3 linked regions of the Struthio camelus genome follow. The protein of the gene in region 3 purifies or fractionates together with the protein of the main gene of each other region. This does not show direct contact. Links are inferred from orthologs where the notes say so. Each region holds a gene or a part of one and is shown on either strand. Other genes may lie near its edges.

Evidence for each region. Proteins that work in one complex are often made in the same cells at the same time.
Region 1: the proteins of USP13 (region 3) and SMC1A purify together in Homo sapiens (affinity purification with mass spectrometry; 5 studies listed by BioGRID and IntAct, with this or other methods). This does not show direct contact. The link is inferred for Struthio camelus from reciprocal best matches to the Homo sapiens genes USP13 and SMC1A.
Region 2: the proteins of USP13 (region 3) and BAG6 purify together in Homo sapiens (affinity purification with western blotting; 3 studies listed by BioGRID and IntAct, with this or other methods). This does not show direct contact. The link is inferred for Struthio camelus from reciprocal best matches to the Homo sapiens genes USP13 and BAG6.

The regions. Positions count from the first base shown.
Region 1 is NC_090979.1:409,516-417,250, reverse strand, and holds the start of SMC1A (structural maintenance of chromosomes protein 1A), read right to left. Parts: upstream 3,005-7,735; 5' UTR 2,818-3,004; coding exon 2,709-2,817; intron 1,842-2,708; coding exon 1,653-1,841; intron 1,567-1,652; coding exon 1,454-1,566; intron 1,380-1,453; coding exon 1,176-1,379; intron 1,094-1,175; coding exon 855-1,093; intron 781-854; coding exon 522-780; intron 448-521; coding exon 307-447; intron 233-306; coding exon 150-232; intron 1-149. UniProt on the Homo sapiens protein: Involved in chromosome cohesion during cell cycle and in DNA repair. Central component of cohesin complex. The cohesin complex is required for the cohesion of sister chromatids after DNA replication.
Region 2 is NC_090977.1:58,860-65,699, reverse strand, and holds the start of BAG6 (large proline-rich protein BAG6), read left to right. Parts: upstream 1-3,836; 5' UTR 3,837-3,961; intron 3,962-5,505; 5' UTR 5,506-5,527; coding exon 5,528-5,602; intron 5,603-5,686; coding exon 5,687-5,804; intron 5,805-6,648; coding exon 6,649-6,839; intron 6,840-6,840. Other genes in the region: spliceosome RNA helicase DDX39B, read left to right, coding at 53-162, 245-389, 473-620, 699-715. UniProt on the Homo sapiens protein: ATP-independent molecular chaperone preventing the aggregation of misfolded and hydrophobic patches-containing proteins.
Region 3 is NC_090950.1:24,654,032-24,661,005, reverse strand, and holds the start of USP13 (ubiquitin carboxyl-terminal hydrolase 13), read left to right. Parts: upstream 1-3,971; 5' UTR 3,972-4,091; coding exon 4,092-4,250; intron 4,251-6,974. UniProt on the Homo sapiens protein: Deubiquitinase that mediates deubiquitination of target proteins such as BECN1, MITF, SKP2 and USP10 and is involved in various processes such as autophagy, endoplasmic reticulum-associated degradation (ERAD), cell cycle progression or DNA damage response.

The sequences.
Region 1 (7,735 bases), on a different chromosome or scaffold from region 3:
AGATGGGGACGGGAGGGCAAAGAACAGCTCAGGGACCGCTCCAAGGACACACAGACGGGGACAGGGGGACGGGGGACACCGCAGGGACCACCCCAGGGACGCCGAGATGGGGACGCGGGGAGGCAGACGCCTCGGGGACGACCGCTCACTTGCTGGTGGCGATGTACTCCTCCAGCTTCTCGATGCGCTTCTGGTTCTCCTCGATCTCCCGCAGCTTCTGCTTGATCTTGGCCTGGGGCGGAGGGGGGTGAGGGGCGGCCGCGGGGGGCGGGAGCGCCCGCGGCGGGGCCGGGGAGCCCCACTCACCTCCGTCTCCACTTTCTTCCTCTCCTCCAGGTCCAGCCGGTCCTGGTCGGCCTTCTGGTCGCGGTTGAACTTCTCGAGCTCCTGGGCCAGCGTGGCGGCCCGCTTGCTGGCCTCCTCCTTCAGCCGGTGGTACTTCTTCACCTGGGGGGCGGCGCGGCGGCTCAGCGGCGGCCCCGGCGGCGCCCCGAGCCGCCCGGCCCCGGCCCCGGCCCCACCTGGTTCTCCTCCAGCGTGAGGTCGCGGCCCTGGCTCTGGCTCTCCTCCTCCATGCGCTCCTCGAACTCCTGCCGGGCCTTCTCCACCGAGAGCATCTCCTTCTCCAGCTCGTCCATGTCGCCCTTGCGCTTCTTGTACTGCTTCTGCGCGTTCTGCAGCGACTTCTTGGCCGCCTCCAGCTTCTTGATCTTGTGCGACGTGTTCTCCTTGGCCTTGATGTACTGCGGCCGCTTCTGGTTCAGCTCCGAGTCCTTCTCCCTTGGGGCGAGGGCGGGCTGAGGGCGGCCCCGGGGCCGGGCTCGCCCCCGGCGCCTCCCGGCCCCGCCACCTACTTGATCTCCTTCTCGATCTGCTGCTGCTCCCGCATCATCTTGCCCAGCTCCTTCTTGCGGTCCTTGAGCTCGTCCTCCACCCGGTCCATGCGCTTCTTGTCCTTGTCGATCTCCCGGTTCTTCAGGCCCAGCTCCTTGTTGAGCTTCTCGATCTCGGCCTCGTTGTGGTAGAGCTTGAAGAGCTGCAGCTGCACCTGGGCCCGCACCACCTCGTCCTTCAGCCGCTGGTACCGGTCCGCCTGGCGGGGGCGAGAAACGGCCGTGGGGACCCCGCCGGCGCGACGCGCCCCGCCGCCCCCCACCCCGCCGCCGCCGCCCCACCTCCTCCTTCTCCTGCTTGGCCTCCTTGCGCTCGGCGGCGATGTTCTTCTTGCGGTGGTAGTTGAACTGCGTGTCCTCCTCCGCCTTCACCATCTCCTTCTTGCGCTTGTCGTACTCCTGCGCCAGCTCCCCCGAGCGGCTGATCTCCTCGAAGAGCGCCGTGCGCTCCTTGGGGTTCTTCATGGCGATGGACTCCACGGCGCCCTGCGGCGGGGCGTCAGCGCCGGGACCCCCCCGCCCCAGCCCGGCCGGGACCCCCTGCCCCCCCCACCCCCCACCTGGAAGACGAGGAAGTTCCTGGCCTTGATGAGGATGCCGAGCTTCTCCAGCTCCTCGCTGTACTCGCTCAGCTGCACCACCCGGTTGTTGATCTTGTACTCGGAGGAGCTGCCTGCGGCGGCGGCGGGCGGCGGTGAGGGCGGCCCGGCGTCCGTCCGTCCGTCCGTCCGTCCCCCCCACCCGGCGCCCCCCACGCACCCACGATGACGCGGGCGAAGGTGCGGTCCTCGGCGCCCTCCTCCGAGTACACCATGCTGACGAAGGCCCGGCTGGCGGCCGGCTTGCCCACGGGCGCCCCGTGGATCAGGTCCCGCAGCGTCTTCACCCGCAGGTTGCTCGTCTTCTCGCCCAGCACGAAGCTGATGGCGTCCATCAGGTTCGACTTGCCTGCGGGAAGTGAGGGGGGGGGTGGGGGGGAGGCGGCGCACGGCATTGTGGGAGAGCAGGGGGCAGCCGGGCCCCTGCGCCGCGGGACGAGCGAGAGCGCGGTGCATCCTGGGAAGGCCGAAGGGCCCCGCAAGGCATCATGGGACACCTGAAAGGCTCCCCGGTGCATCGTGGGAAGGCCGAAGGGGCCCACAAGGCATCATGGGATGCCTGAAAGGCCCCACAGTGCATCCTGGGAGGACCAAAGGGCCCCGCAAGGCATCATGGGACACCTGAAAGGCCCCACAGTGCATCCTGGGAGGACCAAAGGGCCCCGCAAGGCATCATGGGACACCTGAAAGGCTCCCCGGTGCATCCTGGGAAGGCCGAAGGGCCCCGCAAGGCATCATGGGACGCCTGAAAGGCCCCGCAGTGCATCCTGGGAAGGCCGAAGGGCCCCACAAAGCATCATGGGACACCTGAAAGGCTCCCCGGTGCATCCTGGGAAGGCCGAAGGGGCCCACAGGGCATCATGGGATGCCCGCAGCACCCTGCGGTGCATCCTGGGAAGGCCGAAGGGCCCCGCAAGGCATCATGGGACACCTGAAAGGCCCCGCAGTGCATCCTGGGAAGGCCGAAGGGGCCCACAGGGCATCATGGGATGCCCGCAGCACCCCGCGGTGCATCCTGGGATGCCCAAACAGGCCCACAGAGCATCCTGGGACACTCGAAGGGCCCCGCGGTGCATCCTGGGAAGGCCGAGGCGAGAGGGCGAGGCTGCAGGTGCATTGTGGGATAGCGGGGGCAGCCGGGCCACCGCCGGGGCACGCGGAGCGTCCTGGGAGCGGGCGCAAAGCACCACGGGATAGCGGAGGGCGGGGGTCTCACCGGAGCCGTTGGGGCCGATGATGGCGGTGAAGCGGCGGAAGGGCCCGATGATCTGCCGCCCCTTGTAGGACTTGAAGTTCTCGATCTCGATGAGCTTGAGGAAGCCCATGATGGCGGCGGCGGGAGCCGGCGGGGAACCGGGCCGCTACGGGAGCCCGGAGGGCGGGAAACGGGGCGGCTACGGCAGCCGGGGGGGGACACGGGGACCGCGGCAGCCGCGCGCGCGCGCGCCAAGGCCGGCACCGCCCCGCGCCGCGCTCTCGCGAGAACACCCGCTCCTCCCCCCCTCCCCCTCCCACCACCTCGCACCCGCTACGCCATTGGCCGCCGCCGCCGCGCCGCGCGGGCGCTGATAGGCTCCCGCCGCCGCCGCTCTCCCCCCGCCGCCCCGCCCCTCGCGCCGCGTCAGCCGTCGGGTGGAGGCGGGGGGGGGGGGAGAGCGGCGGCGCGGTTTGCATACGGAGCCCCGCCCCCGGCGCAGGCGGATTGGCCGCGCGGGGGGTGCTCATTTGCATGGGGCGGGGCCCGGGTTGGGAGAGGGGAGGGGGGAGCGCGTCTCCATGGCAACGGGAGGGCGCCGGGCCGAGGGGGAACGTCGGGGGAGGGGGCAAAGGGCAAAGGTCAGGGGGGCAAAGGGCAAAGGTCGAGGGGCAGAGGCCTACGGGTTGAGCCATGTTTATTGGTGCGATGCGGGCCCGTGCAAGCCCCGCCCCCTCGTGCGAGCGGCCCCGGTGGCCGCGGTGGCCATGGTGGCCGTGGTGGTGGTCGTGGTGGCTGCGGTGGTGGTCGTGGTGGCCATGGTGGTGGCTGTGGTGGTCGTGGTGGCCGTGGTGGTGGTCGTGGTGGCTGCGGTGGTGGCCATGGTGGCTGTGGTGGTGGCTGTGGTGGCCATGGTGACTGCGGTGGTGGTCGTGGTGGCTGCGGTGGTGGCCGTGGTGGCCATGGTGGTGGCTGTGGTGGTCATGGTGGCTGCGGTGGTGGTCGTGGTGGCCATGGTGGTGGCCATGGTGGCCATGGTGGTGGCTGTGGTGGTCGTGGTGGCTGCGGTGGTGGTCGTGGTGGCTGTGGTGGTGGTCGTGGTGGCTGCGGTGGTGGTCGTGGTGGCCGTGGTGGTGGCCGTGGTGGCCATGGTGGTGGCCGTGGTGGCTGTGGTGGCCGTGGTGGTGGTCGTGGTGGCTGCGGTGGTGGTCGTGGTGGCTGCAATGGTGGCCATGGTGGCCATGGTGGTGGCCGTGGTGGTCGTGGTGGCTGCGGTGGTGGTCGTGGTGGCTGCAATGGTGGCCATGGTGGCCATGGTGGTGGCTGTGGTGGTTGTGGTGGCTGTGGTGGTGGCCGTGGTGGCCGTGGTGGTGGTCGTGGTGGCTGTGGTGGTGGCCGTGGTGGCCATGGTGGTGGCTGTGGTGGTCGTGGTGGCTGCGGTGGTGGCCGTGGTGGCCATGGTGACTGCGGTGGTGGTCGTGGTGGCTGCGGTGGTGGTCGTGGTGGCCATGGTGGTGGCCATGGTGGCCGTGGTGGTGGTCGTGGTGGCTGTGGTGGTGGCCGTGGTGGCTGCGGTGGTGGCCATGGTGGCTGTGGTGGTGGCTGTGGTGGCCATGGTGACTGCGGTGGTGGTCGTGGTGGCCGTGGTGGTGGCCGTGGTGGCCATGGTGGTGGCCGTGGTGGCTGTGGTGGCTGTGGTGGTGGTCGTGGTGGCTGCAATGGTGGCCATGGTGGCCATGGTGGTGGCCGTGGTGGCCGTGGTGGTGGTTGTGGTGGCCATGGTGGCTGTCGTGGAGGCCATGGTGGCCGTGGCGGTGGCTGCGGTGGTGGCCGTGGTGACCGTGGTGACCATGGTGATGGCCATGGTGGTGGCTGTGGTGGCCGTGGTGGTGGCCACGGTGGCCGTGGTGACCATGGTGGCTGTCGTGGTGGCTGCGATGGTGGCCATGGTGGCCGGGGCGGGGGCTGCGGTGGTGGCCATGGTGGCCGTGATGGTGGCCGTGGTGGCCGCGGTGGCCGCGGTGGTGGCCGGGGGGTCAGCGGGGGCGGCGGCAGGGGCACAGCAGGCGGGCCATGGCGCGCGACAGGCTGGTGCTGAAGGCGGCGTAGATCCAGGGGTTGGTGCAGCTGTTGAGGCTGGCCAGCAGCATGAGGATGGTGAAGGCCGGGCCTGCGGGCCACCGCCGCCGTCAGCGCCGCCGCGGCCACCGCTGCGGCCACCGCGGCCACCCGCGGCCAAACATGTTCTCCGTGTCCCCTCATGTCCCTCCGTGTCCCTCCATGTCCCTCCATGTCCCCCATGTCCTCCGTGTCCCTCCGTGTCCCTCCGTGTCCCTCCATGTCCCCCATGTCCCCCATGTCCCCCCATGTCCCTCCGTGTCCCCCCATGTCCCTCCGTGTCCCTCTGTGTCCCTCCGTGTCCCTCCATGTCCCTCCATGTCCCCCATGTCCCCCCATGTCCCATGTCCCCCCATGTCCCTCCATGTCCCTCCATGTCCCCCATGTCTCCCCATGTCCCCCATGTCCCCCGTGTCCCCCCATGTCCCCCATGTCTCCCCATGTCCCACCGTGTCCCACCATGTCCCCCATGTCCCTCCATGTCCCCCCGTGTCCCCCGTGTCCCCCCGTGACCCTCCATGTCCCCCCATGTCCCCCCATGTCCCCTCATGTCCCCCCCATGTCCCCCATGTCCCTCCATGTCCCTCCATGTCCCCCCATGTCCCCCATGTCCCTCCGTGTCCCTCCGTGTCCCTCCATGTCCCTCCATGTCCCCCCATGTCCCCCGTGTCCCCCCGTGACCCTCCATGTCCCCCCATGTCCCCTCATGTTCCCCCCATGTCCCCCATGTCCCTCCATGTCCCCCCATGTCCCCTCATGTCCCCCCCATGTCCTCCATGACCCTCCATGTGCCTCCATCTCCATCATGTCCCTCCACATCCCCCATCTCCCCCATGTTCCCCAGGTCCCCCAGGTCCCCCCAGGTCCCCCCCGTCCCCGTCCCCGGGCGCTCACCCTCGACGGGGGCCCGGGGGTCCCAGACGGCCCACAGCTGGGCGCAGAAGAAAGGGGCCCAGCAGCCCACGTAGACGGCCAGCACCACCAGCGCCATGCGGTGGCTCTTGGCCCGGGCCCGGCCCAGCCCGGCGACCGCCCGCCGCCGGCCCACCGCCCGGGCCACCGCCGCCAGCAGCCCGGCCAGCAGGGCGGCCGGGGCCACCAGCACGGCCAGCGCCACCCAGGTGACGTAGGCCCGGGCGCCCCAGGGCCGGACGAAGACGGCCCAGCAGTCCCGCTCGCCCGCCGCCACCTCCCGCTGCCCGAAGATGGCCACCTGGGGCAGCCCGAAGAGCAGCGCCAGCCCCCAGGCCGTGGCCAGCGGCCCCCAGCGCCCCCGCAGCTCCCGCCACGCCGAGGCCACCGCCGAGGCCACCGCCCAGGCCGCCGCCGGGCACCCGCCGCCCCGGCGCGCCTGCTGCTCCGGGTGCCCGGGGGGAACCGGCCGGGCGGGAGGCCCTCGGGTGGCACCAGCACCTGGGGACGTGGGGGACGTGGGGGACGTGGGGGTGGCACCAGCACCTGGGGACGTGGGGATGGCAGAAGGACCTGGGGACGTGGGGGACCCGGGGGTGGCAGAAGGACCTGGGGACGTGGGGGACATGGGGGACATGGGGGTGGCACCAGCACTTGGGGACGTGGGGGACGTGGGGGTGGCACCAGGAGTTGGGGACATGGGGGACATGGGGGGCACAGGGGTGGCACCAGCACCTGGGGACATGGAGGTGGCAGAAGGACCTAGGGACATGGGGGACCCAGGGGTGGCAGAAGGACCTGAGGACATGGGGGGCATGGGGGGCACAGGGAGCGACCTGGAGGTGGCACCAGGACCTGAGGACATGGGGGACACGGGGGGCACAGGGAGGGACCCAAGGGTGGCACCAGGACCTGGGGACGTGGGCGACCCAGGGGTGGCAGAAGGACCTGGGGACAACAGAGATATGGTGGACACAGGAGGAGACCTGGAGGTGGCAGGGAGACCTGGGGACAACAAGGACGTGGGGGACACATGGGGGGACCCAGGGGTGGCACCAGCACCTGGGGACAGGGGGGTGGCACGAGGTGGCAGAGGAAGGGGACCCAGGGACACGGGGGGAACAGGGGGGGACGGAGGGGGCTGGAGACCTGGGGACAGTGGGGACGCGGTGGCACCAGGACCTGGGGACAGGAGGCTCTGGGCAGCCTGGGGACCCCGGGTCACCCTGCGCCAGGCGGCGGCCAGCGGCCCCCGGGGTCCCCGGGGTCCCCACGGGTCCTGGGGATCCCTGGTGTCCCCATGTCCCCAAGGGGGGTCCTGGTGTCCCTGGGGAATGTCCCGGGCGTCCTTCGTGTCCCTGGGTCCCCAGTAGAAGTCCTGGGCATCCCTAGAGCCCTGGTGTCCCCTGGGGACCTCCTGGAGGTCCCTGGTGTCCCCATGTCCCCATGGCAGGTCCCGTTGTCCCCTGGGGACCTCCTGGAGGTCCCTGGTGTCCCCATGTCCCCAAGGCAGGTCCTGGTGTCCCTTGGGGACCTCATGGACATCCCTGGTGTCCCCATGTCCACAAGGTGGGTCCCATTGTCCCCTGGGGACGTCATGGACATCCTTTGTGTCCCTGTGTCCCCAAGGTGGATCCTGGTGTCTCTTGGGGACCTCCTGGAGGTCCCTGGTGTCCCCATGTCCCCAAGGTGGATCCTGGTGTCTCTTGGGGACCTCCTGGAGGTCCCTGGTGTCCCCATGTCCCCAAGGTGGGTCCTGGTGTCTCTTGGGGACCTCCTGGAGGTCCCTGGTGTCCCCATGTCCCCAAGGCAGGTCCTGGTGTCTCTTGGGGATGTTCTGGACATCCCTGGTGTCCCCATATCCCCAAGGCAGGTCCTGGTGTCCCTTGGGGACCTCATAGACATCTCTGGTGTCCCCATGTCCCCAAGGTGGGTCCCATCGTCCCCTGGGGACCTCCTGGAGGTCCCTGGTGTCCCCACGTGCCTGAGGTGGGTCTTGGTGTCTCTTGGGGACCTCC
Region 2 (6,840 bases), on a different chromosome or scaffold from region 3:
ACGGGCCCCGGCGTCCGGGACCCCCAAGTGACCCCCCGCCCGCCCCCCGCAGGTGGTGATCTTCGTGAAGTCGGTGCAGCGCTGCATCGCCCTGGCGCAGCTGCTGGTGGAGCAGAACTTCCCGGCCATCGCCATCCACCGCGGCATGCCCCAGGAGGAGCGGTGCGCCGGGGGGCCGGGGGGGCCGGGGGGGGCCCGGGGGGGGGCCCGGCCTCCCTGACACCCCCCGCCCCGTCCCCCCCAGGCTCTCGCGGTACCAGCAGTTCAAGGACTTCCAGCGCCGCATCCTGGTGGCCACCAACCTCTTCGGGCGGGGGATGGACATCGAGCGGGTCAACATCGCCTTCAACTACGACATGCCCGAGGACTCGGACACCTACCTGCACCGGGTGGGTGCCGGGGCCGGGCGGGGGCCGGGCGGGGGGCCGGGCCGGGCGGGGGGCTGACGGCGGCGCCGCCTCCCGTCGCGCAGGTGGCCCGGGCCGGGCGCTTCGGCACCAAGGGCTTGGCCATCACCTTCGTGTCGGACGAGAACGACGCCAAGATCCTCAACGACGTGCAGGACCGCTTCGAGGTGAACATCAGCGAGCTGCCCGACGAGATCGACATCTCCTCCTACAGTGAGCGGGGGGCCGGGCGGGGGGCCGGGCGGGGGGCCGGGCCGGGGCCGCCCTCACCCCGCTCTCCCCCCCCTCCAGTCGAGCAGACCCGATAAGCTGCCCGGCGCCCGCCGCCCTCCCGCCCGGTTCGCGTCTCCTCGTTCCTCCCCTCTTCCGACCGTCCGGCTGCCGAGGGAGCCCCCGAAACCGCCGACGCCTGCCCGGAGGGGGGCCCCCGAAACCGCCGCCCTGGCCGGGAGGGGGCCCCCGAAACCGCCGCCGCCCGGACGCAAGAGGAAGCGGGGAGGCCCCGCCCCGCCAGCCGCCCCCCCCCACGGCTGCCGCCGCCTCCCCGCGGCGCCTCCCCCGCCCGGACCCGGGGGGTTTTATAGAAAAAAGGCCTGAAAAGACAAAAAAAAAGAGAAAAAGCCCGAGCTCGGCGGGGGGCGGGGGCTCCGGAGGGCCCCTCCCCCCCGGGCTCCCCTCAGCTGTACAATTTCTGGTTTTTTTGGTAATAAAGTCGCCCGGCCTCGCCGGGTCCCTGGACGCCGCTGTCTGCCTCGGGGGCGGGGCCGCGGGAGGGGCGGGGCCGGCGGGGCGGGGCTTAGCAGGGCGGGGGTTGCGGTGGGGGCGGGGTCGCGGGAGGGGGCGGGGCTGAGGGAGGCGGGGTCCGCGCAGGCGGGCGGGGAGCGAAGCCGCGGCGGCCATCTTGCGCGCGGGCAGCGCCGCCATCTTTGAGGCGGGCGGGCCGAGGGGGCGGGGCCTCGGCGCCGCCGCTATAAAGGGCCCCGCGGGGGCGGCGCGCGGCCTCTTCCCGCCGGACGCCGGGGAGCCGCGGGCAGGTGGGGGGCGCCCGGACGCCTGGGCCCCGCTGTTGGGGGTGGGGGGGAGCCGGGACGCCTGGGCCCCGTTGTGGTGGGGGGGGGGGAGCCGGGACGCCTGGGCCCCGTGGAGGGGGGGCGCCCGGACGCCTGGGCCCCGTTGTTGGGGGGGGGGGGAGCCGGGACGCCTTGGCCCCGTTGTTGGGGGGGGGGGGGAGCCGGGACGCCTGGGCCCCGTTGTGGTGGGGGGGGGGGAGCCGGGACGCCTGGGCCCCGTTGTTGGGGGTGGGGGGGGGGAGCCGGGACGCCTGGGCCCCGTTGTTGTGGTGGGGGGGAGCCGGGACGCCTGGGCCCCGTTGTTTGGGGGGAGGGCGGGACGCCTGGGCCCCGTTGTTGGGGGGGGGGGGAGCCGGGACGCCTGGGCCCCGTTGTTTGGGGGGGGCGGGGAGCCGGGACGCCTGGGCCCCGTTGTTGTGGGGGGGGGGGGAGCCGGGACGCCTGGGCCCCGTTGTGGTGGGGGGGGGGAGCCAGGACGCCTGGGCCCCGTTGTTGGGGGGGGGAGCCGGGACGCCTGGGCCCCTGCCCCTTGGGGCGTCGCCATGATGATCCCCTAGACTAGAGTCTCCGACCCCCCTGACGACCCCCCCAGCCTGAGCGACGCCCCCTCCGTCCCTCCCCCTCCCCGGACGCCTCAGTCCCTCCCCCCCCCCCCGTTCACCCCTCTCTCTCTCCCTCCCGCAGGTCGGAGCCCCCGGACGCCTGGGCCCCCCCGGCTGCGCCATGGGGTGAGGATTCCCCCCCCCCCCCGATCCCCGCGGGTCCGGGGCGTCGCTGTGATGATCCCCCCAGACTAGAGTCTCTGACCCCCCCTGACGACCCCCCCAGCCTGAGCGACGCCCCCTCCCTCCCGCCCCCCCGCCGGACGCCTGGGTCCCTCCCGTTCGCTAACACCCCCCTTCCCCCCCCCCCCGTGTGTCTCGCAGGAGCCCGAGGCCCGTCGGCACCGGCATGACGCGGTGAGTGACCCCCCCCCAACCGGGCCCCCCCCGGGGCCCCCCGGCGATGAGGAACCCGCACCGAGGCCGATCCCGCCGTGACGACCCCTCGCAGCGCCCTGAGCCGAGGCGGCCCCGGGACCCCCCCGTTAACCCCCATTACTCCCCCCTGTTACCCCCCTGGTGACCCCCCCCGGGACCCCCCTGTTCCCCCCCGGGATGCCCCCATTACCCCTTCCAGGACCCCCTTGTTCCCCCCCCCCGAGACCCCCTGTTACCTCCCTTGGGAACCTCCCCATCCCCCCCCCCGGGACCCCCCCGTTAACCCCCATTACCCCCCCCCGGGACCCCCCTGTTCCCCCCCCGGGATGCCCCCATTACCCCTTCCAGGACCCCCTTGTTCCCCCCCCCCAAGACCCCCTGTTACCTCCCTTGGGAACCTCCCCATCCCCCCCCCGTTACCCCCCCGGGACCCCCTTGTTCCCCCCCCCCTTGACGCTTCTCTTTCCCCCCCCCCCAGCCGCGGCCCGGAGCCTGCGAGGGACAAACGGCGCCCGTGTCGCAGGGGGGAGGGGAGCAGCTGGAATTGGGGCAAATAAAGCTGATTCTGGGTCTGGATGCGGCCTGGTGGTGTCTCTTTTCGGACGGGGGGGCGGGGGATGCTCTGTTTACATAGCAACAGGGGGGGTCGCGCGGAGGTGGTGGGGGGGGGTTCCCGCCTTTTTTGTCCCCCTTCCCGACCGGTGGGGGTGGCCATGTCGGGTGTGGGCAGCGCCGCTACCGGCCGCCATCTTGGGTGAGGGCACCCCCGCCCCCCGGCCTGTTTATTGTCGGGGCTCCTCAAACCGGGGGGCAGCGCCCCTTCCCCCGCCCCGGGACCCCTCCTTTGTTTTTATTTAAATAAACACGGATTTGGGTGAGAGCTGGCCCCGTCAGTCGGGGGGGTTGTGCTCCTGTAACACAACGGGGGCCTCGGCTGCTCTGCCCCCTCCCCCCCGGGCACAACATGGGCCCTGCCGCGGGGTGGGGGGGGCACCAGCGCCATCTTTACGCTCGGGCCTACCGCAACACACGGGGGAGGGGGCGGGAAACGGGCCCGGCCCGCAGCCAAGATGGCGGCGCCCTCAGCCAAGATGGCCGCTCTGCCCAGGGCGCAATCGCCAAGATGGCGGCCGCCGCGGCTTCACTCCCTCACCCGCAGCGCGCATGCGCGAAGCAGCGAGGCCCCCCCCACCCCCGTCCCGGCTGGGGTGGCGGCGGCGGACGCCTGCTGAGCGGCGCAGGCGCGGCGCGGGCAGCCCGGCGCGGCGGCGGGGTCCTGCGCGGCGGCGCGCATGCGCGGCAGAGCGCGGCCGGGCGGCGCGGCCGGAGGCGCACGGAGGAGCCGCTCCGCACCGAGCGCGGCCCCGCGGCCCCGGCCCGGCCCCGGCGGCGGCTCCGCGCCCGCCCCAGGGCGCGCCCAGCCCCCCCGGAAGCCGACCCGCTCCCCCCCCCGCCTGCCCCGGAAGCGGATCGCGCACCGAGCCGGAAGCGACTGCCCGCGGAGGCAAGGCGCCGCCGACCGGCGGGGGGTGAGGGGCGGCGGGCGGGGGTCAGGAGCGCCGGCCTGCCGGTTTGCGGTGGGAGTCGGGGCCGCGGGGGTCAGGGGTCGGGGTGGGGTGTAGGCCGCGGGGTCAGAGGTCGAGGGTCAGCGTGGGGGTGGCGGGGTCAGGGTCGGGGTGGGGTCAGAGGCTGGGGGTCGCGGGGTCGGGGGTCAGGGCAAGCGTTGACCTCTGGGGTCGGGGGGTCAGAGGTCAGAGTGAGGGCTGACCCCCAAGGGTCAGGGGTCAGGGTGAGGGGTGACCCCGGGGGTCAGGGGCCGGGGGTCGGGGGCCAGGGCGAGGGCTGACCCCGGGGGTCAGGGGCCGGGGGTCGGGGGTGAGGGCGAGGGGTGACCCCGGGGGCCAGGGGCTGGGGATCAGGGGCCAGGGCGAGGGCTGACCCCGGGGGTCAGGGGTCGGGGGTCGGGGGCCAGGGCGAGGGCTGACCCCGGGGGTCAGGGGCTGGGGGTCGGGGGCTAGGGCGAGGGCTGACCCCGGGGGTCAGGGGCCGGGGGTCGGGGGTGAGGGCGAGGGCTGACCCCGGGGGTCAGGGGTCGGGGGCCAGGGCGAGGGCTGACCCCGGGGGTCAGGGGCCGGGGGTCGGGGGCCAGGGCGAGGGCTGACCCCGGGGGCCAGGGGCTGGGGATCAGGGGCCAGGGCGAGGGGTGACGCCGGGGGTCAGGGGCTGGGGGTCGGGGGTGAGGGCGAGGGGTGACCCCGGGGGCCAGGGGCTGGGGATCAGGGGCCAGGGCGAGGGGTGACGCCGGGGGTCAGGGGCCGGGGGTCGGGGGTGAGGGCGAGGGGTGACCCCGGGGGTCAGGGGTCGGGGGCCAGGGCGAGGGCTGACCCCGGGGGTCAGGGGCTGGGGATCAGGGGCCAGGGCGAGGGGTGACCCCGGGGGTCAGGGGCTGGGGGTCGGGGGTGAGGGCGAGGGGTGACCCCGGGGGTCAGGGGCTGGGGGTCGGGGGCCAGGGCGAGGGGTGACGCCGGGGGTCAGGGGCTGGGGGTCGGGGGTGAGGGCGAGGGGTGACCCCGGGGGTCAGGGGTCGGGGGCCAGGGCGAGGGCTGACCCCGGGGGTCGGGGGCCGGGGGTCGGGGGCCAGGGCGAGGGCTGACCCCGGGGGTCAGGGGTGAGGGCGAGGTGTGACCCCGGGGGTCAGGGGTGAGGGCGAGGGGTGACGCCGGGGGTCGGGGGTGAGGGCGAGGGGTGACGCCGGGGGTCAGGGGCTGGGGGTCAGGGGTGAGGGCGAGGGGTGACCCCGGGGGTCAGGGGTGAGGGCGAGGGGTGACGCCGGGGGTCGGGGGTGAGGGCGAGGGCTGACCCTGGGGGTCAGGGGCCGGGGGTCGGGGGCCAGGGCGAGGGCTGACCCCGGGGGTCAGGGGCTGGGGGTCAGGGGTGAGGGCGAGGGGTGACCCCGGGGGTCGGGGGTGAGGGCGAGGGCTGACCCCGGGGGTCGGGGGCTGGGGGTCGGGGGCCAGGGCGAGGGCTGACCCCGGGGGCCGGGGTCAGGGGTCAGCGCTGCGGCGGCGCCATGGCGGAGGAGCGGCTGGAGGTGCTGGTGAAGACGTTGGACTCGCAGACCCGGAGCTTCCACGTGGAGCCGGAGGTGAGGCCGAGCCGGGGGGTCCCCGCATCCCCGCCCCCCCCCCCGGCCCCCCCGTGACCCCCCGCCGCCGCCGCCCTCCCCCAGATCACGGTGCGGGCGTTCAAGGAGCACATCGCCGCCGCCGTCTCCATCCCCGCCGAGAAGCAGCGGCTCATTTACCAGGGCCGGGTGCTGCAGGACGACAAGAAGCTGCAGGAATACAGTGAGGGGGCGGCGGGGGGGGGCCGGGCAGCACCTGGGGGGCGGGTTGAGTTTGGGGACCCCTTGGGCAGGGGTTGGGGCATTTGAGGGGGTTTGGGGGTATTTGGGGAGCCCTGGGGTGAATTGGGGGGTTTAGGGGCCCCTTGGGCAGGGGTTGGGGCATTTGAGGGGGTTTGGGGGTATTTGGGGAGCCCTGGGGAGAGTTGGGGGGGTTTAGGGGCCCCTTGGGCAGGAGCTGGGGCATTTGAGAGGATTTGGGGGTTTTTGGGGAGCCCTGGGGCAAATTGGGGGGTTTAGGGGCCCCTTGGGCAGGAGCTGGGGCATTTGAGGGGGTTTGGGGGCATTTGGGGAGCGCTGGGGGGAGCTAGGGGGGTTTAGGGGCTCCTGGGGCAGCATTGGGGTCATTTGAGGGCAGTTTTGGGGGGGTTTGCAGAGCTGCGGGGTTAGTTAGGGACTTCAGGAGCTTCTTGGGTGGTAGTTGGGGCATTTTATCGTGGTTTTGGGGGTCTTGGGGGAGTTCTGGAGTTTTCTTACAAGAGCTTAGAAGTTTTTGGGGGTAATTGGGGTAGTTTGTGGGAGTTTGGTGGCTCTTAGGAGCGATTTGAGGTTATTTAGAAGAGTTTAGGAGCCATCTAAGCAGCAGTTTGGGGGTGGATGGTCGTTTATGGGGGGTTGGGGGACCCTTGGGCAGCATTGAGGGAGTTTGAGGGCAGTTTTGGGGGGTTTGGGGAGCCTTAGAGTTAGTGGGGGGGTTGGGGGCTCTTCAGGCAGCATTTGGGGGGGGTGGGGAGCTGCGGGGCAGGGGTTTGGCTGACCCTCTCCCCCCCCGTCCTTTCTTCCCCCAGATGTGGGGGGCAAAGTGATCCACCTGGTGGAGCGGGCGCCCCCCCAGGCCCAGTCGCCCTCGGGGGGGGGCCCCTCGGGGCTGGGCTCCTCCTCGGCCCCCCACAACGGGGGGGGCCCCCGGGGGCCGGGCGGCCCCGGCCACGACCGCAACGCCAACAGCTACGTCATGGTGGGGACCTTCAACCTGCCGG
Region 3 (6,974 bases):
CCTTTGTCTAGATCATCCAAAAAGTGAGGTATTCTAAAACGTCTTGCCACGTTGCTCTGTTCTGTTGACACTTTGATTTTTTTCAGTGAGGTACATTTCATATAATACCTGCTTCCTTTTCTAATGGATCTAAAACGGAGCCACATACCCCCTTTGGGGCAGAAAGTGTCTTCATAGATGCAGGTTTAAACCAAGTCAGTGCTCTGTAATACATTAACACTTCAAAAAACTCATACTGAGAGGTACCTACCCGTTATGTTACATAATTTTAATTTTAAAAATGAGTATCGGGTGACTTGGAGAATTGCATGCCTAGTGGTTGTCCAGAGGACTATCTTTTTATATTTTCATGAGGCTTTAGGTTTTTTTTACCTCAGATCCTACCTGTGTTTTGAGAAGGCTGAATTAAGACAGAAACACTTGCCTAAACCTGTAGCGATTACTATCCATATTGTCAGCTGTAGGACTAGAAAGCAAATGAAAACTTCTTAAATATTTAAGAAAAGTGTGTAGTATATATAAACTCAAGTCTTTATGACTTTAAGGCTTTTTGTAAGTTTAAGTCTTTCATGTATTCTTGAAAATATCCTGCAGTTCTTAGGTTAAAGTCTATGGTCTGTCATGTAGAACTTGCTTCATTGTTAGGAAGACTCTAAGCGGGCAAATATGAAACGAAGTATTTTCCTAGTAACTGCTGTATATCTAATTTTTTAGCGATGTAGTGACATTATTGATACTGCTGTTCAACAGAGTTTTCTTACTGTAACAGGCTTAGTAATATGAAGAAGGGAAAAATAGGAAACTGCTTCGTGAAGGTTGTTACGAAAGGGTTGCTTGAAGTCTGAAGAGCAAGGATCAAGCCAAAGAGAACTGCATAGGTAGACATTGATTAATGTTTTTCATGGATAATATTACTGCAGGTAAACAGATACCATCTTCTGCTGTTTGTTGGCAGTTTTTAGCATGTACAAATCAAAGTCCTAAATAACACTCTCAAGGTGAAAATTTCAAAACTTTATACTCCCAAAGTATGTAATATAGAGAGACGGTATAAGAGACTTCACAGATGAAAAAGACAGTCCTCTCTCTGGTAACACTTGAGTGTATTTTAAAGGCTTCTTTTCCAAGGTGAACTGGAATCAAAAAGCAAAACAAAAGAGTTTATATATAAGTTGAGTAGAAATGTGCTCTCCAACTGTGGTTAATCAGGAACAAATTAAGAAATACGTAAGGGGAACGAAGCAAATAGAGATCCAGGATGTTACATAAACAGAATACTGAATATTGGTAATTATCTAGCATGATCTGGTCTGCCTAGCTGGAAGGGGCTGTATATTGTGTATGAAGTCCTATCTCTGTTGTTTTTTTTTTTTTAATATTATCAGTTTCTTCCATAAAATAAGAAATTAAAGATGGTGTAAATGAGGAATGATCCTCATACAGTTTTAACACCTATTTCGTCAATTGCTGCATGTTAGTGAAGGTATAGAAGTTACATACAGAAAATACCAAACAAGGCAAACAGATAGGAACGGTAGGACTGCAGATGCAAACAAAAAGCTTTGAAATTTAGTTAGTATTACAAGCTTTTTTACTTATTTTGCATTTTGCTACTTTACATTTCTCTGAAGAGTATTACCGTATTCAAAACCAATTTTGTTACAATCGGTTTGCAGATGTTAGCAGAAGTTAGGCCTTTACTGAAGATCAAGTAAGAACATACTTAAATCTGAAACAATTACTTAAGAGCACTTCAAGAGGAGGCTGCCTACTTTCACGTTTGTAAGAATGGAATTGCTTGATGATTTTTATACATGACAACAGTGAACAAGTACCTTCTGGGATAGCATTAGTTGTTTTAAGCTGCATGTGAGGACATCCGTACACGTGCCTGCCATGCATTTTCAAAAGTATGCAGCCTTTCAGGGCTACTAAGATGATGAAGGGACTGGAGCACCTCTCCTATGAGGAAAGGCTAAGGAAGCTGGGACTCTTCATCCTGGAGAAGAGAAGACTGAGGGGGGATCTGATCAATGTGTATAAGTATCTGAAGGGAAAACAGCAAGAGGATGGGGCCAGACTCTTCTCCGTGGTGCCCAGCGATAGGACAAGAGGCAACGGGCACAAACTGAAACCCAGGAAGTTTCATTTGAACATGAGGAAAAACTTTACTGTGAGGGTGGCTGAGCACTGACTGGCACAGGTTGCCCAGAGAGGCGGTGGAGTCTCCATCCTTGGAGATATTCAAGAGCTGTCTGGGACAGGGTCCTGGGCAAAGTGCTCTAGGTGACTTTGCCTGAGTGGGGGGGGGTTGACTAGATGATCTCCAGAGGTCCCTTCCATCTGCAACCATTCTGTGATTCTGTGATTTTTCTATACCACTTTTGGAAAAAAAAAAGTTGGGAATAAATAGGTTACTCTTTTTTTCTGACAGGCTTTTGCCACTAGAGGGATACGTTTCCTCAGGTTCTAATGGCCATAGTATTCCTCTAGTTTTAAATCCCGTAACAGAGGGAAAGACTGTGCCTTTCTTAGTTTGTGACCCTACATTACCTGTTCACACTGAAATTTCCACTTTTTTTTTTTAAAAAAGGAAGTAAGCCCAACCTCTTTGGCAAATCCTGGTCATCTTGTGGTTTCAGACTGCTAAAACCTAATTAATTACTTTCATTATATTGAGCAATAGTACATAGAATATTTGAAGTAAACACTCATTTGCTGTTTCCTAACACTGCCAAACATTAGGAAGACTCTAATTGATTTAGGATTTCTTATGTTATGATTCGTTGATGTAAATTCTATTCTTGTGGAAGTCTAAAGCCATTCCATTGAGCTCATATTCTGCTTGCGGTATTTCACAGGCTTCCCACCACTTGATTTTGCTTGAAAAATTGCTGAGACGAGGCTATACTGGTTAGCTTACGCTCGCAGCCCATTTCTTTATTGCTGGATACGAACCTGTGGTTTTTCAGCTCTGTTGTTAATTCAGAACCACCTTTTGAACCTTTAGTTTTTGAGGTTAAAAGTGCTCCTAGCAAAGGTCACACGTACACAGATTGCTGTGAAGTGTTACAAACTTTTATTTTCAATTGCCTGCTTGCAGGTGGTCCATGAGCCCTTGGATTTAATGTCAGCTACAGCCGGAAGGCCACTCATCTAAATTATCTGGCTTTAATTTTAAATGGACCAGTCTTTTCTTTAATCCTGCTGCTGCTAATCCTGTCAGGCGTACGCAGTTAGATATCGTTTGAAAAACCTCGTGATTTCGAGTAGGGTACTTTCAGTTACTTCCCTCTTCCTCTACTGCTATCGGTATTCTGTCACAGTGAGAAGAGCACCCCTGCAGAAGTGGGAGAAGGTCACCGTAGACTTAAGACACTGTGCCTCAGCACCGGACATCCGCGTTCAGCCGCGGGCACTGCCGCAGGCTCCCACCGTCGCCTCACGCAGAGCAGTTTAACTCCCCTGGGCATCGCTTCCACCTTACCAGCTGTTTCGCTTCGCCGAGATAACTCATACACCGTTCAGGCAGGGGCGCTGCCTTGTTCCGCTGAAATACAACACCCTCCGTAGCGGGGTGGTGACAAATCCGCTCGTACGCGCAGAGAAAAACCTGTACCCAATCTACGCCGTATCACGGCTAATTGGGGGGGGGGAGGGGGAGGGGCGCGGCGGCCCCTCAGCGCCGGGCGCCCCGTAACGGTCGCCGGCGGCGCGCGGGGCGGGGCCGGGCCGCCCCGGAGCCGGGGTGGCGGCGGCGGGCCCTGCCGCCCCCGCGGGCGGCCTCGGAGGCCGGAGGTGCCTGAGAGGCAGGGGCGGAGGCGGCGGGGGGCCGCCCGCCCTGCCCCTCCTTCCCGCCCTCGCCGGGACCCCGAGGTGCCGCCGCAGCTGGTGCCGCTCCTGCTGCCATTGGATTAAAAATAGCATCTTCCCTCCCCCTTCCCCTCCCCCAGGCCCGGCTCCCGCCGCCGCTGCCGCCGCCGCCACCGCTACCGCCGCGCCCTGCCCTGCCCCGGGCCCGGCTGCCCTCCGCCTCCATTGCCCGCTCGCCGTCGGCCGGCCGGAGGCAGCGAGCGACCGAGCGAGCGAACATGCAGCGGGCCGCGCTCTTCGGCGGCGGCGGCGGCGATGCGCAGATGGCCGCCGGGGACCTGGGCGAGCTGCTGGTCCCCTACATGCCCACGATCCGGGTGCCCAAGTCAGGGGACCGGGTCTACAAGACGGAGTGCGCCTTCTCCTACGACTCGCCTGTGAGTGCAGCGAAGCCGCCGCCGGCTGCCTCCGCTTCCCCCCCCCTCACCCCGCCGGCTGCCGACCTACCCCTCTCCCAGCGCCCTGCGGCAGCTCTGCCGCCGCCCCGCTGCCTCTTCCCCCGCTCCCGGCTGCTCCCCAGCCCCGGGGCAGCTTCCCCCAGGCCTCAGCCTCCCTGCCCTCCCCCTACCCCCCCGCGGCTTCTTCCTTAGCCAGGTTTCCCTCGCCACCCCCGGGCTGCAGCCCCTTCCCTTCCCGGGGGTCCCGGCCGCGCCGCCGGCTCCCCTCGCCCCCTCAGCCTGCGGGTGCCCCGGCTGGCAGCCGCCGGCATGGCGGGATGTGTCCGCGCTCTGTCGCAGCTGAGGACTCCTCTGACAAGCACGTCGCCGCCAGCTTGTATGCAGCGCTAGTATTGGCTTCTGTGGGGTTTCTGTTGTTGTTTTCTAGGGAACTTTTCTATCGCCTGGGAAATCGTTTCTGGTTCTCCAGGGTGGGCATGCTCTCCCTGTGTAACCCTTGTTTTCAGGTTGGTACTGAGATAGTAAAAAGCAGAAGGAGCTGACGTTCTCGTTCGCATGTTTTTGGCTAGGAAAAAGCCAATGGTTTTGCTTGCCTACCGTATCACTGCTTATCCTCCTGTTGATGATCTTTTAAGGAAGTCTTCAAAGAAGTTCAACCTGAAAATCAGTGTGAAAGTCTTCCTGAAATACTTTCCCTCCTGGCGTTTTGGTTAGGTCACTAGACTTCAAAGAACGCGTATTTCCTCACTAGCTTATTTAGTTTGTTGTTAAATGAATGTTTGATGCGTAGTAACTTTCTATGATGTTATAGTTGTCTTGCAAAGCATCCGCAAGCTCCACAAATGCATGTATTGTGTTGCAGATTTGGGGCCCTACTCGTTTTTTAACTTTGCTGAAAACATTGGAAACCTTAATAAATAGTGAGTGGATACTGTGTAGGAAACACGTGTTTAGAAATTGCACTTTTTAAATGGAGCTGAAATTTTTTTAAAGATTGCTTCTCTACATTAGGCTGAGGTTTCTCAAAGGTGACTGAGCGCTCTGTATTGCTGTAAAGTTAAAGTTAATGACAGCAATCTGAAGGAAGCTCAGTGTTTACATGACAGGATAGTCAATTAAAGATATGTTTGAGATGGACTTTTGAGCATGTTATTCCTCTCTCTTTAATATTTTCCTCTAATGCAAAAAAATCAAAATTGGTTTCAAAGGTGACTCAGCTGTCTGGTGTTCATCATGTCTTGTTGAACAGAGGTTATTTTTACCCGCACTCTTCAGATCTCAAGTGTCACCTAGCAGCCCTGGCTGTACCGGCAGGCAGTCTGATTAAAATTGCCAAATCAGACTCTACTGCAGAGGCGCTAATTACATTATATACTAAGTAAGGGTTGGGGGGGGAATCAATATACCACAATTCTTTCTTGAAATTTTTGCTTGGGTGAACACTAGAAATAATACTTTCAGGTGGCTTGGACCTTATGGTCTATAAAAAGTTTCCTTTAACCAGTAGGAAGAGATATCAAATTCTGTTACAGATTAAAAAGCATTAATCAACACCCCTCCCTGCAACAGATGTCAAATAAACACAGCGAAACTTTTTTTTTTTTTTTAAGCAAAACAATATATTGGAGCAAAACATAAAGTATTTGAGGAAAGCTCAAATAAGCTTAACAAAAGCTACATATAAGCATAGGAAAAGGAGCTGGAATCACCAAGTGCGATTTTCAAAACTGTTTCATCCCATTCACTTTTTTGGCAAGAGAGTCAGGTTTTGAAAACGTTGGCCTTGGCCATTAGAGACTTTTTGTTGAAAGGTATTCATTAGGCAAAAGGCTCTGACTGAATTCATGCAATACCAGTAAAAATTATATTATGCTCTATTTCCATTGTCTAGTTTTCCACGGCTTTTCAGCCTGTACTGGTCCTTGACTTGGTTGGGTAAAAGACTTGTCTCCAGAAAATGTATTCGTTATTCCCATGTAACCTAACAGATATTTGGATATTGTTTCTAGGATAGCTGGTTCTAAAAGACAAATGTGTGCTTTTGGGGGTAAAACACCATCATTTACAAATTTGAAAACAGCAAAACTTTATTTTTACAGTCTTCCGCCCAGAAGAGAAGGTGAAAGAAGGATACAGACAGATTGTCCCCTTGGTTAAAAAAAGGGATTTATCTCAGTGTGCTTTGTATTAGGTTGTCTTAGTGACTTATTTTCTGAGGTCAACTACGTATAGCCTAAGTGAGTGAATTCCTATTGAGGTGTCTGCCTCTTTTTGAAAGATGCGCAGTTTTTTTTTTCCTCCCCTATAATATTAAAGTAAATGATAAATGTTAAAAGCATGTCCTCTGGGGTTTATTGTCTATAGTAAAATTCCAGATAACTTAGTCGACTAGGAAGGTGTTTTCCATTGTAAGCTTATTTCTCAGTACGTCCTCGCATCTCCTCATTTTGCCATTTCGAGTATGTTCTTTGTTCAGCTCTTCTCTGTTTCGAGTCAGCTCGAGGCAAGATGTTTTGTTTTGTCACTCTTCTTCAATACCAGATTTTATTTCAGTAGTTTATTCCATTAACACCGTAAAACTCTCTCTCAAGCTTTACCTTTGATTCTTTTCCTATTCAGGCAAGTAAATTTCCTGAGTATTTTGGAACTTAATACTTTGGTCAACTAATTTTTGTATGCACTTTTCTTAAGTGATATGCCCAG